Linked DNA regions of Arabidopsis thaliana. The protein of the gene in region 2 interacts with the protein of the main gene of each other region in a pairwise test. Each region holds a gene or a part of one and is shown on either strand. Other genes may lie near its edges. The genes, in order: PAB5, CID5 and PAB2.

Region 1 (6,137 bases), on a different chromosome or scaffold from region 2:
ATGCTTGAATGAATAAACTCACGGTGAATATTGTTGCATTGCATCTGTTGGACCTTCTCTGAACGCATGATTAAGGAATAGGATAGGACCCAATCTGCTTCTTGTCTCCTTTACATGTTCTTCATACCCTTGGATTGTAGAATTACTCTACATTGGCGTTCTGCATTTAGATAAGTTGATGGTTTTCTTTTGATTGTGCTCATAAACCTCATACATGTCTCTAGACTTTCTAGGCTTCTTTACTCTTCAATTGCCCTGGAATATCAATTAACGTGGATTCGGTGTCTCATGGAACCTTAGGTTTAGGTCAAAGCTTGTATTCTTACTTAAAGTAAACAATTTCTTGGAATCACTCCTATGGCTCATAGATTTAGAATACGCATGTAGAAACTAGAATGGATGTCATGGTATTCTGACTTCGTTGGGGCGTAAAAAGTCTTTGGATAATATTGTTGCAAGAACAGAAAAAAAAAGCATTAAAACATGCAGCTTTAATTGGGTGATTCATCTGATAACACTATTAATTTGAACACCTTTTGTTTTCAGGATTCCCTGCTCAAACCCATCACCAGAATCATTCTCGGAGTTGTGATTGTTACGCTCTTAATAACATTTCTATTGAAAGACCCTCCAGCTTGGATCAAGAACAACATCTCCATTGGGACCTTTCCTCCATGGGTGCTCGCATGCATAGTTATAGTTTTCACTCGAGCTAGAAAGAGAACCAGGGACTTCTTCAAGAAGTATGGCTGGTAGTTTCGCAGACCCTAACACTCGTCTCGCTTAAAATGTGGTCGAAATTTGTAGTCTTTCATCGACCATATATATAGAGGTTCTCTTGCCTTAACCCAACAAGTTCCCTTCCTTGGCAAGACTCTTCGTCTTTGATACGCCTTGAGGCGCCAAATTGCTTGCTTTCAGAACTAAGAGAGAGCAATCATTTTCTTCATTTGCATTTTGTTGAAGTTTATAGTTTTATGCATTTCCATGTGTAATGCGATTTGGTTTTTGCCATTTTGATGGAAACTGATACTTATTTTCTAAAACCCAATAGTTTGGCAACAAGCCTGTCCATATTTAATCTCTACATTCCTCCCTGATAATATGAAAATTTAGTCTTGTAACGCATGACATGCTCAGTTTCGTACATATGTCAGATAGTGTTTCAGAAATATCTAAAATGAATGACAACATCACCCATATCGAACTTACTTTTTGGTGGTAGAAAATATTTAGTCGACTAGAGTCTGACATTTTACTCTATTAATCACGAGTACTTAGCAATCTCTGTTCAATAGATTTCAACTGTTGTATTTATTGATGATGGAATTTTTTAAAGATCAAAATTGTCTCATCCACAAAATATTGTCCATGAATTCTATAGATTAGCCTTGTGGCATACCAAAAATCTGTCTCATGTTTTAAACAATTCTATGGAAATATGTTGATATTGATTTAATGTATAAAATTGAGTTTATCGCGGCTGCGTTGACGTTGCTGATAACATCCTGCTTGACACTATCTGGAATTCCTAATTTACTAAGAATTTTGATGATTTTAATAATATTATTGAAAGTGAATAAATGAAAGATTCTAAACTATTGTAGATGTTATTAGTTTAGAATTTGTAAAAAGTAATATAAAATCTTCATAAATCTGAAGTTATTTGATTTATATTTTTATAAAATTATTAAATATTTTGCGTTATTCAATTAAAACAAAATAATCTATGATTGTTAATGAATTAAATTATTCTGTTAATGGTTTATGATTTTTTACATTTTTCTTCACAAAATAAAATCATGAAAGTATCATCAAAATCGAGAGATTGTTTAAATTTTTTTACGAGATTGTGAAAAACAAATCAACAAGATTATAAAAAACTCTCTAGCAATAGTTTATAATCTTTCATTTATTTACTTTCTATGATATTATTAAAGTCATCAAAATTTCGTGTAAATTATGAACCAATAAAGCCTCTTTTAACAAAAAAAACAGACATGACGATAACAACAAAATAATTAAGAAGGAGAAGTAGACGGAAAAAAAAAAAAAAAAAGTAGAGTAATAAGATGTTAAGAAAAAACATAAATATCTATGTGGCACTAGATCTCATCTATAAGACGTTAGTCGTAGTTTTTTGCGAGTATATGAAGAGCAGACTTAACAGATTCATTCGGTTGCGGCTTCCGTTTAGAACGCATGATCCCTTCTACTTCTTCGTCAAAATTGTGTTCAGTTTTCTTTATTTGTTTTAATGATTGTTGTATTTGGATGGTTATATATCATATAAATTTAAATTTTTATAATATAATATAATTGATTATCATTAAAAAAAAAACATGTGGCATTGGATTATTGGCCAGGACAGAAAAAGCCCATTGGCCCACAAAAAGATCCCAGATGTGAATTAAAAAGCTGAGTCAAAACTCAAAAGCCACGTCAAATCAAACTCTGATCCGTAGGGACCGGTTGGTTAGCGAATGTATAAATACCAACTCTCATTCTTTCACACCCTTTCGAGTCTCTCTACTCCTCTTCTTATTCACCGGAGTAACCCAAAAAAAAAAAGGAAAAAATATAAAAATAAATATTCTCCCCTAAAAATTTTGGAAAACCACAAACAGAAATCTCTCTGTCTCACCCTAGAAAAACCTAGAAATCTTATCGCTATGGCTGCGGCGGTTGCATCTGGAATTGCCCCGACGACGGCCATGGTTGATCAAGTGATCCCTAATCAACCCACGGTTGCTGCTGCTGCTCCTCCTCCTTTCCCTGCCGTGAGTCAGGTTGCGGCGGTTGCTGCTGCTGCTGCTGCCGCGGAGGCTTTGCAAACCCATCCAAACTCGTCTCTCTATGTCGGAGATTTAGATCCGAGTGTCAATGAGTCACATCTCTTGGATCTCTTTAATCAAGTTGCTCCAGTTCACAATCTTAGGGTTTGTCGTGATCTGACTCATCGTTCTCTTGGTTACGCTTACGTCAATTTCGCTAACCCTGAAGATGGTAAATATTATAAACAATCATACAGGAATTTAATATTATTATTATGGATTACGACAGGAATATAATATTGTTCATGTGTTTGCTTTTGTGGTTTTGTTCTTTTTGCTGTTTTGTTTTGTTTTGTTTTGCTGTTTTGTAATTAAAGTTTTGTGTTTTTTTATTGGATCAGCGAGTCGTGCGATGGAAAGTCTCAACTATGCTCCGATCAGAGACAGGCCTATAAGGATCATGCTCTCTAATCGTGATCCGAGCACTAGATTGAGTGGGAAAGGCAATGTTTTCATCAAAAACCTTGATGCATCGATTGATAACAAAGCTTTGTATGAAACTTTCTCGTCTTTCGGGACGATTCTCTCTTGCAAGGTTGCAATGGATGTGGTGGGACGTTCGAAAGGATATGGCTTTGTCCAGTTTGAGAAAGAGGAAACCGCTCAGGCTGCTATTGACAAGCTTAATGGTATGTTGCTTAATGATAAGCAAGTCTTTGTTGGCCATTTTGTCCGTCGTCAAGACAGGGCACGTAGTGAGAGTGGTGCGGTGCCGAGCTTCACTAACGTTTATGTTAAGAATCTTCCTAAGGAGATTACTGATGATGAGCTTAAGAAGACTTTTGGGAAATATGGAGATATTTCTAGTGCGGTTGTGATGAAGGATCAGAGTGGGAACTCGAGGTCTTTCGGGTTTGTCAACTTTGTGAGCCCTGAAGCTGCTGCAGTTGCTGTTGAAAAGATGAACGGTATCAGCCTTGGGGAGGATGTGTTGTATGTTGGTAGGGCACAGAAGAAGTCTGATAGGGAAGAGGAATTGAGGAGGAAGTTTGAGCAAGAGAGGATAAGCAGGTTTGAGAAATTGCAAGGATCGAATCTGTATTTGAAGAACCTTGATGATAGTGTGAATGATGAGAAGCTCAAGGAGATGTTCTCTGAGTATGGGAATGTGACTTCCTGCAAGGTTTGTTTCTGATTCTAAACATCTCTAAACTTTATACATAAGTTTATACCACACAATATAATGAATTAAAATGTTTTGTTTGTGGTCATAATTAGGTTATGATGAATTCACAAGGTTTAAGCAGAGGTTTTGGTTTTGTTGCTTACTCCAATCCTGAAGAAGCTTTATTAGCTGTAAGTTTCAACTGAATTGACAATCTTTTTACATATACATAAATGTTTTATAAAATTGGTACTAAAATGTTCATTGGGGTTGATGATTACGCAGATGAAAGAAATGAATGGGAAGATGATAGGAAGGAAACCTCTTTACGTTGCTTTGGCACAACGTAAGGAAGAAAGACAGGCTCACCTTCAGGTTCTTTTTAGCCCTCTCACTCTTTGAACATCAAACTCTGTACTGTGTTGTGTTGTGACACTGAGTTCTTAAACTGTCTTGATGTTTTCACGTGTTTCAGAGTCTATTTACTCAAATCAGATCACCTGGAACAATGTCACCAGTTCCATCACCGATGTCTGGGTTCCATCATCACCCACCAGGTGGGCCAATGTCAGGACCACACCATCCAATGTTCATAGGCCATAACGGTCAAGGTTTGGTACCTTCACAGCCTATGGGGTATGGGTACCAAGTTCAGTTCATGCCTGGGATGCGTCCAGGTGCAGGCCCGCCTAACTTCATGATGCCTTTCCCTCTTCAAAGGCAAACTCAGCCTGGCCCTCGTGTTGGGTTCAGGCGTGGTGCTAATAACATGCAGCAGCAGTTTCAGCAACAACAAGTAAAGTTTTTATCATTAGTTCTTATGTCTTTTAGCAAGTTTATTATCTTTAACACAATCATACGAATATGAATTTGTTGGGGCTTGTTATTATCTTGGAACTGTCAGATGCTGCAGCAAAATGCAAGCAGATTCATGGGAGGCGCAGGCAACAGGAGGAATGGAATGGAAGCATCTGCTCCACAAGGCATCATCCCTTTGCCATTGAATGCATCTGCAAACTCTCACAATGCTCCGCAACGCTCTCACAAGCCAACTCCCCTCACCATTTCTAAGCTCGCATCTGATTTGGCTTTGGCTAGCCCCGACAAACACCCACGGGTTAGTGATCTCCTGTGTTTTCTTCTCTTATCTCATTTAGTACTTGCATTATAACCTATATTTGTTAACAATATCATTGCATTGTGAATTGATGACAGATGCTTGGGGATCATCTTTACCCACTTGTGGAGCAGCAGGAGCCAGCAAATGCTGCTAAAGTTACCGGGATGTTGCTGGAGATGGATCAAGCTGAGATTTTGCACCTTCTTGAGTCACCTGAAGCTCTTAAGGCTAAAGTGTCCGAGGCTCTGGATGTTCTCAGACGCTCTGCTGATCCAGCAGCTGTGTCATCTGTTGATGACCAGTTTGCTCTATCCTCATCCGAGTGAACATACTGTTTACTCAAGACTATGTTTCTCTCGCTTTCTTAGACAGTTGCTTTAATACCTTTTAGGACCTTTAAAACTAGCTTTTTCTTTTCTACATCTCTTTGATAGATTGTTTTGAGTTTTTCCCTTAGCATTGAGACTTTTACTCTTTAGCACTTTCTCTAGTTTCGTTAGGAGTCTATTTAATGTGTCAACTCTTTTGCAACTCCAAATTCGTTTCAGAAACTTTACATTTAGCATTTTATCTAATAATCGGCATTCTGGTTAAACATTCTGATCACATGAAATCTGGATGTACCTCGTCGTCTACTATCTGATATTCCGTATTTATCTCCATTACTGCTCTGTCCCATCCTCCTACTTCGTCATCCTTCAAGGCCTTTTTAACACCAAATCGCGGTGGTGCTTGGTGTTCTCCTTCGTCATCGATTAAGTAGGCGTCCCATTTCGAAGCTGGCTTAGTAACTCTTTCTGACTCTAGATTCCTCTCTTCCATATCCTTCTTCCTCGTCACTACTTCATCTGCAACACATTTGAAGGATAGGAGAATATTGTTTTAGTAAAACCATTCAGGCCTTTAATAAACAACATTCGCAACGGCTTTACTTGAACTAAACGCTGATATATGGCCAACATATGTAGCAGAACTCCTCTTACCGGATCGAAAATCCGGCTTTTTGATGCTGCGTCTGGAGAAAGAAGGCTTGAAGATCTCATTACTGTCTTTATTCTCACCTCCTGTATTTGATGAT
Region 2 (3,797 bases):
CACCGCCGCCTCCACCTCTCGGCTTCAGACCCGAGGTATTTAGACCGCCTCAAGATGGTTGGTATGATAATCAAAACGGAGGATCAGGGCAACACTATGAGCGGAACCAGTCAAGAAACAGAGGATTTTAATATCTCTGTTGAGTGTTCTCTGTAATTGTAGTTTTTTGGTTTCCTAGTCTCTCTTTAGTTTTTCGTTTTCAAAAAATTTGTAGCCATCGTAGAATGCAAATGTTCGAAGAGTCCCAACTTTTCAAATAAAACATTTCAGAGTTTCCTCAAGAAAACGAAAATCAGTATTGCTCTGCTTTTAAAGACAAGTTTGATTGTGGAATCTTGCTAAAATGTCAAAATCTTGTTTGAACATCAAATTTAATCCGGAAATCAGCAAGTAATTTCTTCTATCTAGGTTTCACCATGAATCTAAAAGGATTATTGAAAATGAGGCTAACGAGAGTAAGATTTTTTGATGGGCCGCTCGGCTCAGAGTTCAAGCCTGCAGGAAAATTTGCTCTAAACGGATGAAGATTTCAGTTTATTTCGGTTTACAAGTTAATAATAAGGTTATAACTTATAAAGATTCTCCTTTGTCAAAGTTACTGGTACTAGTTTTAAAAGGATGATTACATATACACCATAATAAACATATCAATATCATATTATTCATAGGAAAATCCAATCCACAGATGGAGCTGCAAAATAAAAAAAGGGGTCAAAAAAGACCAGACTAATCTAATCTGCCCAAACAACACACCACTCAGATTTGAACTTCCAAAACTATACATTTTCCAACTACTCACATATCATCATTTCTCTTAGATACCATCAACTTCATTGATACAATACCCCCATTACTGTACTTATTATGGGTATGCAAACCAAAACAAAAGAAAAAGAAGAAGAAGCAAAACTTCACAACTAAAGGATTCATGAGATCAGGCCGATACAGGTGCATTAGGGATAACCGATGATGTGGATGCAGCGACTTCAGTAGATTTTGATGTTGAAGGCCCTGACTCAGAGATATCCCCAATATCAAGTGTCTCTGGCAGGTTTTCTTCAGATTCAGTGCTGTATATCTATATAGAAAAAGAGTGATCAAAATCATCACTTAAGATCATTACATCAAACAAAAAATAAACGTGAGTAATGAATATACCTCAAGCTGATTCAGCATCTCAATGGTTGCTTCAAGATCACCGCCATTAGCGAGGTAAACATCAGTGATAGACTCTTGTGAGAGACCAGAGAAAGTGACAAGAAGGTATTCAATATCCATGTCTATATCCATCTCCAAATCCAAATCATCATCCCTGATCTGCTTATAAGCCATTTCAGAGGATTTCTTCGGCATTGACACTTCAACCGTGGGGGACTTTGCTGCAAACACCAAACCATCATCACCGCCACCATAATCCACTCTTTTGGAGATTGGTACATACGATGCTGCATGTGGATTCAATGCAAATGCTCCTGGCTTCATTGCTTTGTCTTGCTGATAAAGTTACTGCTAAATTTAGAAGTTAATTAAGAGTCAGAGACAGAAAAGAAATACAAAACAATGATATATTGATTAGAACCAAACATGTCGTATGCAGCAAAATCTAACAATCTCAAATTTGGTCTAACGAGGTATGATGAAACAACCTTTAATGATTTCAACAAAAAAAAATAAAAAGGATATGAAGAGACCTAACTCCTAAGCCAACGTTTCGATGGCGTAACACAGAGTATATAAGGAATCTAAAGGAAATAAATTGAAGATATTAAAATAAAGAAATGTGGTTACATTAGAATCTGGCTCGCGTTGTTACTGCATGGAAAAATCGATGTCGGAAAATACAGAAAACAGGGCAAAAGTAAAAGATTCTTGACAAAGAAGAAATGATGCGAAGAAGAGTGGATTATATGCAAAACAAAATGAAAAGAAGGAATAATGTTTGTTGACCTTGTCAACGATCGACGTAAAAGGAGAAGAAGAAACGAAACATTAGGAGAGAAGAAAATGAGCTTACCAAACAAAAACTAGCGTTGAAGATCGCTCGAATAAATTGTAGAGACAGAGACCTAAATGATGCGATTAATGTGGCAAACCCATGTATTTATGGAATTATTATCGTATAGGTTAGTGTCCGTTTACATGAAGGACACCAAACATCACGATGGGGTTCGTTTGGATACCCGGTTATATTTATCTTTAACCGGGATACTAATATACGTGATTGAAATTAATTCGGTTTAATAAACCGATTGATAACCACCGGTTTAAAAAGTATCAAAACGAAGGAGTGAATGGATGAGAGCTAAAGGGAAGAAGCAAAGTGAAGAAGCTCCAGAACACGCCATAGCTATGGCTCTTCTCTGTCCTTCTCTTCCCTCTCCGAATTCTCGTCTTTTCAGGTTAATTATCTTTTGTGATGTTTCTTGTGTGCTCGAGCCAGTGGCTTTTTCTGTAAGATGTTTTTGTGATTTCGGATGAGATTGTGTTCAGGTGCAGGAGCAGCAATATTTCGAGCAAGTATCATGGAGCCTCAAAGGAGCTGATGATTGCTCGTTCTGGTGTGTCTACGAGATCAATTTCTTCGGAAAAGGGGCTTTCTCGTAGGGATTTAGTGCTCATTGGTCTCTCTTCTCCGTTGTCTATGTTCTTGCCATTGTCTTCTCCAGGTAATGCTTTGCTTCTATTGTTCGTCTTTTAATATCTTGTAGATTCAATTAGATAGTTTCACTTCTACTTAAAAATCTTGCCTTTCATTGGTTAGTAGAGAGAAAGGAAGAAAATTGAGAATCTCTTACAGTGTTTAGTCCATTAATAATCATCTACTTTTTTTGGTTATGTAACGTTTACAGTTTTGTTATTGCAGTCACTCATGCAGAAGAAGACGTGAAAATGAGTGGAGAAGAATTGAAAATGGGTACAATGGTGGATGATATTAATGCTTATTCTTATGCTTACCCATTGGATTATCCATCTGAGAAGCTTGTCTTCAAATGGTATTGACTGAATCCTTTTGATGTAATGCTTCCTTTTAGTTCAAGCTGTATCTCACTCTTTTACATTTTGGTTATGCAGGGTTGAATCAAGAAAGCCTGAAAGATACTCTTCAGCTGCACCACTCTCTCGTAAGTTCTATGCTTCCTTTTGATTTTCATGAATTCTGGATGCATTAACTTGTTACTGAATCTGTTTCAACTGGTCCAGCTGATGCACGTTTACGGATTGTTTCTGAACGAGTTGACCTAACTGACAACCTCGTCATTTCTATTTCGGTAAGTTTCTGGTGTTGCCCATTTAGCATAAGACTGCTTTGCTTCTCTTTGCTATCTTTCTCGTGATATGTCTTTTACGGTTTTTGATTCAGATAGGTCCCCCAAACTCAAGATTAACATCAAAAGAAAAGAAAACATGGTCCGCTAAAGAAGTTGCTGATTCTGTTTTGTCTGATAAATCAGCATTGGTAACCCTTCTAACATGAAACACATCACAGTTACCAATTCTCCTTTTCTTAAACATTAAACAGATTGTTTAAATGAGCAGCGTGTCACCTCAAGTCAGCGTCTTGAAGAGAGTTCGGTTCTTGATGCTCATGCTAGTGATGTGAGTATGATCTTCCACAACAAATCATATAACAACGTAAAAAAAATTGAATCTACAAAGCTCACAAGTCTCATATGCTTACTATATGTAGATTGATGGGGAGCCTTACTGGTACTACGAGTACCTTGTCCGCAAATCACCAACCAAAATTGTAATGCTCTCTAACTCTGAGCAGATTCTTCTTGTTTAAAGACATAAGG
Region 3 (6,246 bases), on a different chromosome or scaffold from region 2:
TTCGCGTGGATAGGTTGTCTTTCAGTGAGCCTCTTCTGCTTCTGTGCAAAAAGATGCCATGTCTGGTTTAGAAACCTTCACAACTCTATCCGTGATGACCGTTATCTCATTGGTCGGAGACTGCATAACTTTGGGGAAGCTGCTTTAGCTAATCAAAACCAAAACCAAAGTAGTGAGGATGCAGGAGATGGTGTCTTGATAGGACGAGAGGGAGATGTTGATAATGGACTTAGGCTCAGACGTGCAATCCAACAAGAAGCTTAGAAAGAAACTGTGCACTGAGGCGTTTAACATTTTGTGTACTTAAGCCGTTAAGAGATGGCTTTGAAAGATTTATTATTAGTCGATGTGTAAATTATTATATCCGTTGATGATTCTCTTTTTTTTGTTTTTGTGTACGAAACTAAAAGATCTTTAGAATAATGCTTCGTTTGTCCATATGCCTTGTGTGTTTCTATGATAATGCTTCTAGAATACCTTCGCTTACTGCAAATTCTTGTCTTTTGTCTCTTATGTTAGTGCATGTAAGCCTTAAGGAATTGGCGTTGAAGATCTATTTGGCCGATGTGTGATTGTAGACATACTCGTTGATACTGTTTTTGGTTTTTTATTTTCCAACAGAATAAAAATAAGAGGAATGTTATAACCCCATTAGATAGATGTCCATATCAGGTTCATCTCAGACCCATATGCTTCAAGGGTTATGGGTACTTAGAGAGATTGTGTTCCCGATTGTGATGAAACTCCTAACGGCTTTATGTGTGCCTTATGTGTTGGCGAGAGGAGTGTTCCCAATGCTCGGATATCCGCTAGTAGTGAACTCAGCGGTCTACAGATTCGCATGGATAGGTTGTCTCTCAGTGAGCCTCTTCTGCTTCTGGTTTAGAAACCTTCACAACTCTATCCGTGATGACCGTTATCTCATTGGTCGGAGACTCCATAACTTTGGGGAAGCTGCTTTGGCAAAACCAAAGTAGTGAGGATGCGGGAGATGGTATCTTGATAGGACTTTAGGGAGATGTTGATAATGGACTTAAGGCTCAGACGTGCAATCCAACAAGAAGCTTAGAAAGAAACTGTGCACTGAGTCGTATTAACTTAGGCTTGGAAATATTTACTAGTCAATGTGTATCCCGTTGATCCTCTTTTGTTTGTGTATAATATCCAAAGGATCTTAAGAAATGAGTAATGACGCTTCGTATATATATATGCCTTGTGTGTTTCTACTTTCTATTGTAATGCTTTTTGAAATGATTGCGTATTGCAAAATCTCATCTCTCATCTTATGTTCTTTCGTGTCACAATTCTACTGGAAGGCCAATCGTGTATTAAGTTGAATTGTTTTGATAAGTCAAATCTTAACATATTGGTTATTTAATTAAGATACTTTTTGCATACCATATAAAATCGTGCGGTAAATATTAATATTAACAACTTTTACTTTAGGAAAATCAAAATTCATCAAGATCCAGTGAGAATATTGCTAATCAGAGTTAAGAAATGTTAAGATAAATCAAAGAAAATATCATCACTGTACAAAATTTTAACAAACTTGGTTACTAATTAGATTCGAAAGTGTCAAACACGCGCGTATCTGTTTGACTTTTCCGAAAGTGACGAGAAGGAAGACGACCTTATCAATTCACCAGCAACTCTAAAATCAATCCTACGATTTACTTCAGACTCGATCCAACGGCTGAGATCAATCTCACACTCCTAGGGTTCTTCTAGGGGAATTAAAGGTTTCTTTTTTTTGTTGGGTTAATAATATAAAAGCAAAGAAAAGGAGAAACCGTAATGCTTCTTTTTCATCTATCGTAATTGTGCTTGTTTCGCCTAGAATCTCTCGGCCCCCAAATATCTCACTCGCCGTCGCAGGCTTCGCCGCCGGCAATTTCTTACCCTATTTCATCTTCCCTCTCCTCTGATATACCCATAAAAACACAAAAAAAACGAAAAGATAAAAACTTTGGCTTTAGTTTTGTTGATTTTGTCATTCGATTCGATTTCTTTTTCTTCTTTCAAATTCTAGGGTTTTCGATTTGGTTTCAGTCTAATAACGAGAGGGGAGGGAAGAGTAACTAAAACCCCAAAAAAAGTCAAAAAAGTTTCGAAAATCCAAAAAAAGATAATGGCGCAGGTTCAACTTCAGGGTCAGACTCCGAATGGTTCGACCGCGGCGGTCACTTCTGCTCCGGCGACGTCAGGTGGAGCAACGGCGACCCAGTTTGGTAACACGTCGCTTTATGTGGGGGATCTCGATTTCAATGTGACGGACTCGCAGCTTTTCGATGCGTTTGGCCAAATGGGTACTGTGGTCACCGTTCGTGTCTGTAGGGATTTGGTCACTCGCCGATCTCTTGGCTATGGATACGTTAACTTCACCAATCCCCAAGACGGTTAGTCTCCTTAATTTTATTTGGACTTCTTCTTACAATTTCCAATTTTTAGGGTTTGCTCGATAGTACCAGTACTGGATTTGAATGAGGTGTGTTTTAAATGTTGATACTTTATGGTGTTTGTATGTATGCAATGTGGTTGGTGCTGTTGGAAAGCTTATCCCCTGCTTAATCAATCTTTTTAATGCTACTTCTGTCTTCTAATGGTACTTTATCTCGTGTCTTTGTTGCAGCTGCAAGAGCGATCCAAGAACTGAATTACATACCTCTTTATGGAAAACCTATTAGGGTTATGTATTCTCATCGTGATCCTAGTGTTCGCCGAAGTGGCGCTGGCAACATTTTTATTAAGGTACGCTTGTCTCTATCCTTCTGACATTTGAGTTGCTGTAAGACGAGATGATTGTTGCGAAAAAATTTGTATCTTGTATTATTCATTGAAAAGTCTGGCAAAAGTAGTTGATTTCTTTAGTTATGTAAGTTTTTTTATTGGGTGTTCTTTCTCTCTTTCTGATGCTAAACCTGGCTATAATATGCAGAATTTGGACGAGTCCATCGACCACAAAGCACTGCATGATACTTTTTCATCGTTTGGAAACATTGTGTCGTGCAAGGTAGCTGTCGATTCTTCAGGCCAGTCAAAAGGCTATGGGTTTGTGCAATACGCCAATGAAGAATCTGCCCAGAAAGCTATAGAGAAACTGAACGGCATGTTGCTCAATGACAAGCAAGTGTATGTGGGTCCTTTCCTGAGGAGACAAGAAAGAGACTCCACTGCTAACAAAACGAAATTCACCAATGTGTATGTGAAGAATCTCGCGGAAAGTACTACCGATGATGACTTGAAGAATGCTTTTGGCGAGTATGGAAAGATAACAAGTGCTGTCGTGATGAAAGATGGAGAAGGGAAGTCCAAGGGCTTTGGGTTTGTCAACTTTGAAAATGCTGATGATGCTGCTAGGGCTGTGGAGTCTCTCAATGGGCACAAATTTGATGATAAGGAGTGGTATGTTGGTAGAGCCCAGAAGAAGTCAGAGAGGGAAACAGAATTAAGGGTCCGTTATGAACAGAATTTGAAGGAAGCTGCAGACAAGTTTCAAAGTTCAAACTTGTATGTTAAGAATTTGGATCCTAGCATTTCAGATGAGAAACTTAAAGAGATCTTTTCTCCTTTTGGTACCGTTACATCTAGCAAGGTTCAATGTCCCTCTCTCTCTCTCTTTATTTGTAGTGAGTTGACTCTCCTAGTTCATTATTTAAGAAGTTCTTTTATTAAATATTACAGGTGATGCGGGATCCTAATGGAACAAGCAAAGGCTCAGGTTTTGTTGCTTTCGCAACTCCCGAAGAAGCAACTGAAGCTGTAAGTCAGTTGTATCGTCTTGTTGATTGTATTTATGAGGACTTTGATTGTTAGTAACAGTGGAATACTGTACAGATGTCACAGTTGAGCGGTAAAATGATCGAAAGCAAGCCACTCTATGTGGCTATTGCACAGCGGAAGGAAGACAGAAGGGTCAGACTACAGGTTTGCTTCTCTTGGAATCACCTCGTCTTGTGATACACTTACTACTCCTACTTTGCCTGTTGGAGTTTCAACTCTAAACAATTGGACCCATCATGTACAAGTCTTAGAATGTCCCACTGCGTATAATTATCAATACTGATGCTGATTCTTCTTTATAATCAAGTGCAACAATATATAAAGCATAAACAACATATGTCCTAGTATTTTTGTATCACAGAAAAATCTCTTTTTTCTCCTGCTGCTGAGTATTTGCATTGATGTGAATAGGCTCAGTTTTCCCAAGTGAGGCCAGTTGCAATGCAGCCGTCTGTTGGTCCCCGCATGCCAGTGTATCCCCCGGGTGGTCCTGGTATTGGACAACAAATGTTCTATGGTCAGGCCCCTCCTGCCATGATTCCTCCCCAGGTAATCTTCATGTTACTCTACTTTAAGTAGCCGTGTACGATTTTACACAAAGATATGCACATGTTTATTTTCTACCTTGGGTATAATGAATTACAAGCTGACAGATGCTTTTAAGTCACATGAAAAGTTTTTAAATTCTTTAGCTCTATAGTTGCTATACTCATACTTGAGCCTTTCCAAATCTATTTTGAAACTGCTGGGATAATATTAACCTGTACTTATGCAATGCCACAGCCTGGGTATGGATACCAACAGCAGCTTGTTCCTGGAATGAGACCTGGTGGGGGTCCTGTACCCAGTTTCTTCATGCCTATGGTTCAGCCACAGCAGCAGCGTCCTGGAGGAGGAAGACGTCCTGGGGGAATCCAACACTCCCAGCAGCAAAATCCCATGATGCAGCAACAGGTTCTTCTCTTTTCCTTATTTAATTGCAATAAAGGCTGCTTTGCTTGCTTGGCTCTCTTTTAATAGTTGATCGTATGGTTTTTCTGTTTGGATGGTGGTTAGATGCATCCAAGGGGTCGGATGTTCCGGTATCCCCAAGGGCGTGGTGGTAGTGGTGATGTGCCTCCATATGATATGGGCAACAACATGCCATTGACTATTGGAGCTTTGGCTTCAAATCTGTCTAATGCTACTCCAGAGCAACAGAGGACGGTGAGAGAATCTCTTAAAAACCAAATAGAGAGACTGGTTTTGCTTGGATTATAATAATGTGACCCTTTGGGTGTGTTTGTACAGATGCTGGGTGAGGTGCTGTACCCGTTGGTGGAGCAGGTTGAGGCAGAGTCTGCAGCCAAAGTGACTGGGATGCTTTTGGAGATGGACCAGACTGAAGTGCTCCATCTGTTGGAGTCACCAGAAGCTCTCAAGGCCAAAGTTGCAGAGGCTATGGATGTTCTCAGGAGTGTCGCTGCTGGTGGTGCAACCGAGCAGCTCGCTTCCTTGAACCTCTCTTAAATTGCTTTTTATCATTTGATCTTTGGCTTTTGTCTCTCCCATACAATTGGAGTTGTTTCTTTGCTATTCGTTTTCTCCCTGGGAATTTGGATTCCTCCACATAACTGCGTTTGTGTTATTTTAAACCTTCGTTTTTAAACCACAAAGGAAAAACCTATCTGCTTTGTTCTTTTGATTTAGTTGCGTGTTCTAGCTTGTTCGATCTAGTGTTCACGGAAGATGAATTTGATTACCAATAAGGCCAATGCTGGTGATCCCCCTCTTTGGCCTTTTGACTGTTGGTGGTTGTTGCTTCTAGTCATTTTTTTTACCAGTTTTTCAAGCTCTATTTTATGGTAAAAAGGTGTCCTGGTAAAAATGGATGAATGGGTCTCATTCTCAGCAGACAATGTTTGAATGAGAAAGAAATACATTTTAAACTTTTTATACACTTTGCTTCTAGATTGATTGGGACTAGTCGAATAGAAATCTTAGTAGAGGTCTAAGGAAACATGATACACATCTTGTTTGGTTGAAATCTTACCATTGTTTTTGGTTTCAGTTATTGATCTGGTTTTTGGACTACTTTTTCTGCAACTATTTGAGAATGAGAAATTACTTACCAAAAAAAAGAAAGTCTTCATCTACGCCAAGGATTTAGAATATTCGTACATGAATTTTGATTTCCAGTACATTGCGTCATGAACTATATAGTCTACTTGTTTTTTTTTGTATCTATTTGACATGCAGCAAAGCCAGCAACACATCTTTTATTGAGTCTGATGATATTTGTGAACTAATTCGAAAATATTTAAAAGATTCGAGTGTATGAAAGGTTTAACTATTATCAAAATCTCTAGATATTTCAACTGATGGCAACACTCAACAATCTCACAATCACGACATAAAAATCCAATAACACTTGAAACCAAAAGAGGGTTCAAATTAGGGTTTCTTGTTAAATCGAAATTGGAC

Evidence for each region.
Region 1: the proteins of CID5 (region 2) and PAB5 interact in a two-hybrid assay, tested with the Arabidopsis thaliana proteins (one study listed by BioGRID).
Region 3: the proteins of CID5 (region 2) and PAB2 interact in a two-hybrid assay, tested with the Arabidopsis thaliana proteins (one study listed by BioGRID).

What each region holds. Positions count from the first base shown.
Region 1 is NC_003070.9:26,990,025-26,996,161, reverse strand, and holds PAB5 (poly(A)-binding protein 5), read left to right. Parts: upstream 1-1,902; 5' UTR 1,903-2,059; intron 2,060-2,554; 5' UTR 2,555-2,672; coding exon 2,673-3,006; intron 3,007-3,175; coding exon 3,176-3,957; intron 3,958-4,052; coding exon 4,053-4,130; intron 4,131-4,224; coding exon 4,225-4,314; intron 4,315-4,414; coding exon 4,415-4,735; intron 4,736-4,843; coding exon 4,844-5,056; intron 5,057-5,154; coding exon 5,155-5,385; 3' UTR 5,386-5,637; downstream 5,638-6,137. Other genes in the region: AT1G71780 (WD repeat protein), read left to right, coding at 547-756; AT1G71760 (uncharacterized protein), read right to left, coding at 5,663-5,907, 5,992-6,137. UniProt on the Arabidopsis thaliana protein: Binds the poly(A) tail of mRNA. Appears to be an important mediator of the multiple roles of the poly(A) tail in mRNA biogenesis, stability and translation.
Region 2 is NC_003076.8:3,652,126-3,655,922, forward strand, and holds CID5 (CTC-interacting domain 5), read right to left. Parts: upstream 2,078-3,797; 5' UTR 2,015-2,077; exon of another isoform or gene 1,789-2,014; intron 1,507-1,788; 5' UTR 1,483-1,506; coding exon 1,159-1,482; intron 1,079-1,158; coding exon 935-1,078; 3' UTR 589-934; downstream 1-588. Other genes in the region: AT5G11430 (SPOC domain / Transcription elongation factor S-II protein), read left to right, coding at 1-131; PPD5 (PsbP domain protein (Mog1/PsbP/DUF1795-like photosystem II reaction center PsbP family protein)), read left to right, coding at 2,296-2,399, 2,491-2,666, 2,864-2,993, 3,073-3,122, 3,202-3,269, 3,362-3,457, 3,538-3,597, 3,689-3,748. UniProt on the Arabidopsis thaliana protein: Promotes polyploidy in dark-grown seedlings. Regulates the endocycle leading to hypocotyl elongation.
Region 3 is NC_003075.7:16,334,601-16,340,846, forward strand, and holds PAB2 (poly(A) binding protein 2), read left to right. Parts: upstream 1-1,690; 5' UTR 1,691-2,131; coding exon 2,132-2,399; intron 2,400-2,632; coding exon 2,633-2,751; intron 2,752-2,938; coding exon 2,939-3,595; intron 3,596-3,684; coding exon 3,685-3,762; intron 3,763-3,837; coding exon 3,838-3,927; intron 3,928-4,194; coding exon 4,195-4,332; intron 4,333-4,566; coding exon 4,567-4,737; intron 4,738-4,839; coding exon 4,840-4,989; intron 4,990-5,073; coding exon 5,074-5,292; 3' UTR 5,293-5,714; downstream 5,715-6,246. Other genes in the region: CER9 (RING/U-box superfamily protein), read left to right, coding at 1-264. UniProt on the Arabidopsis thaliana protein: Binds the poly(A) tail of mRNA. Appears to be an important mediator of the multiple roles of the poly(A) tail in mRNA biogenesis, stability and translation. In the cytoplasm, affects both translation and mRNA decay.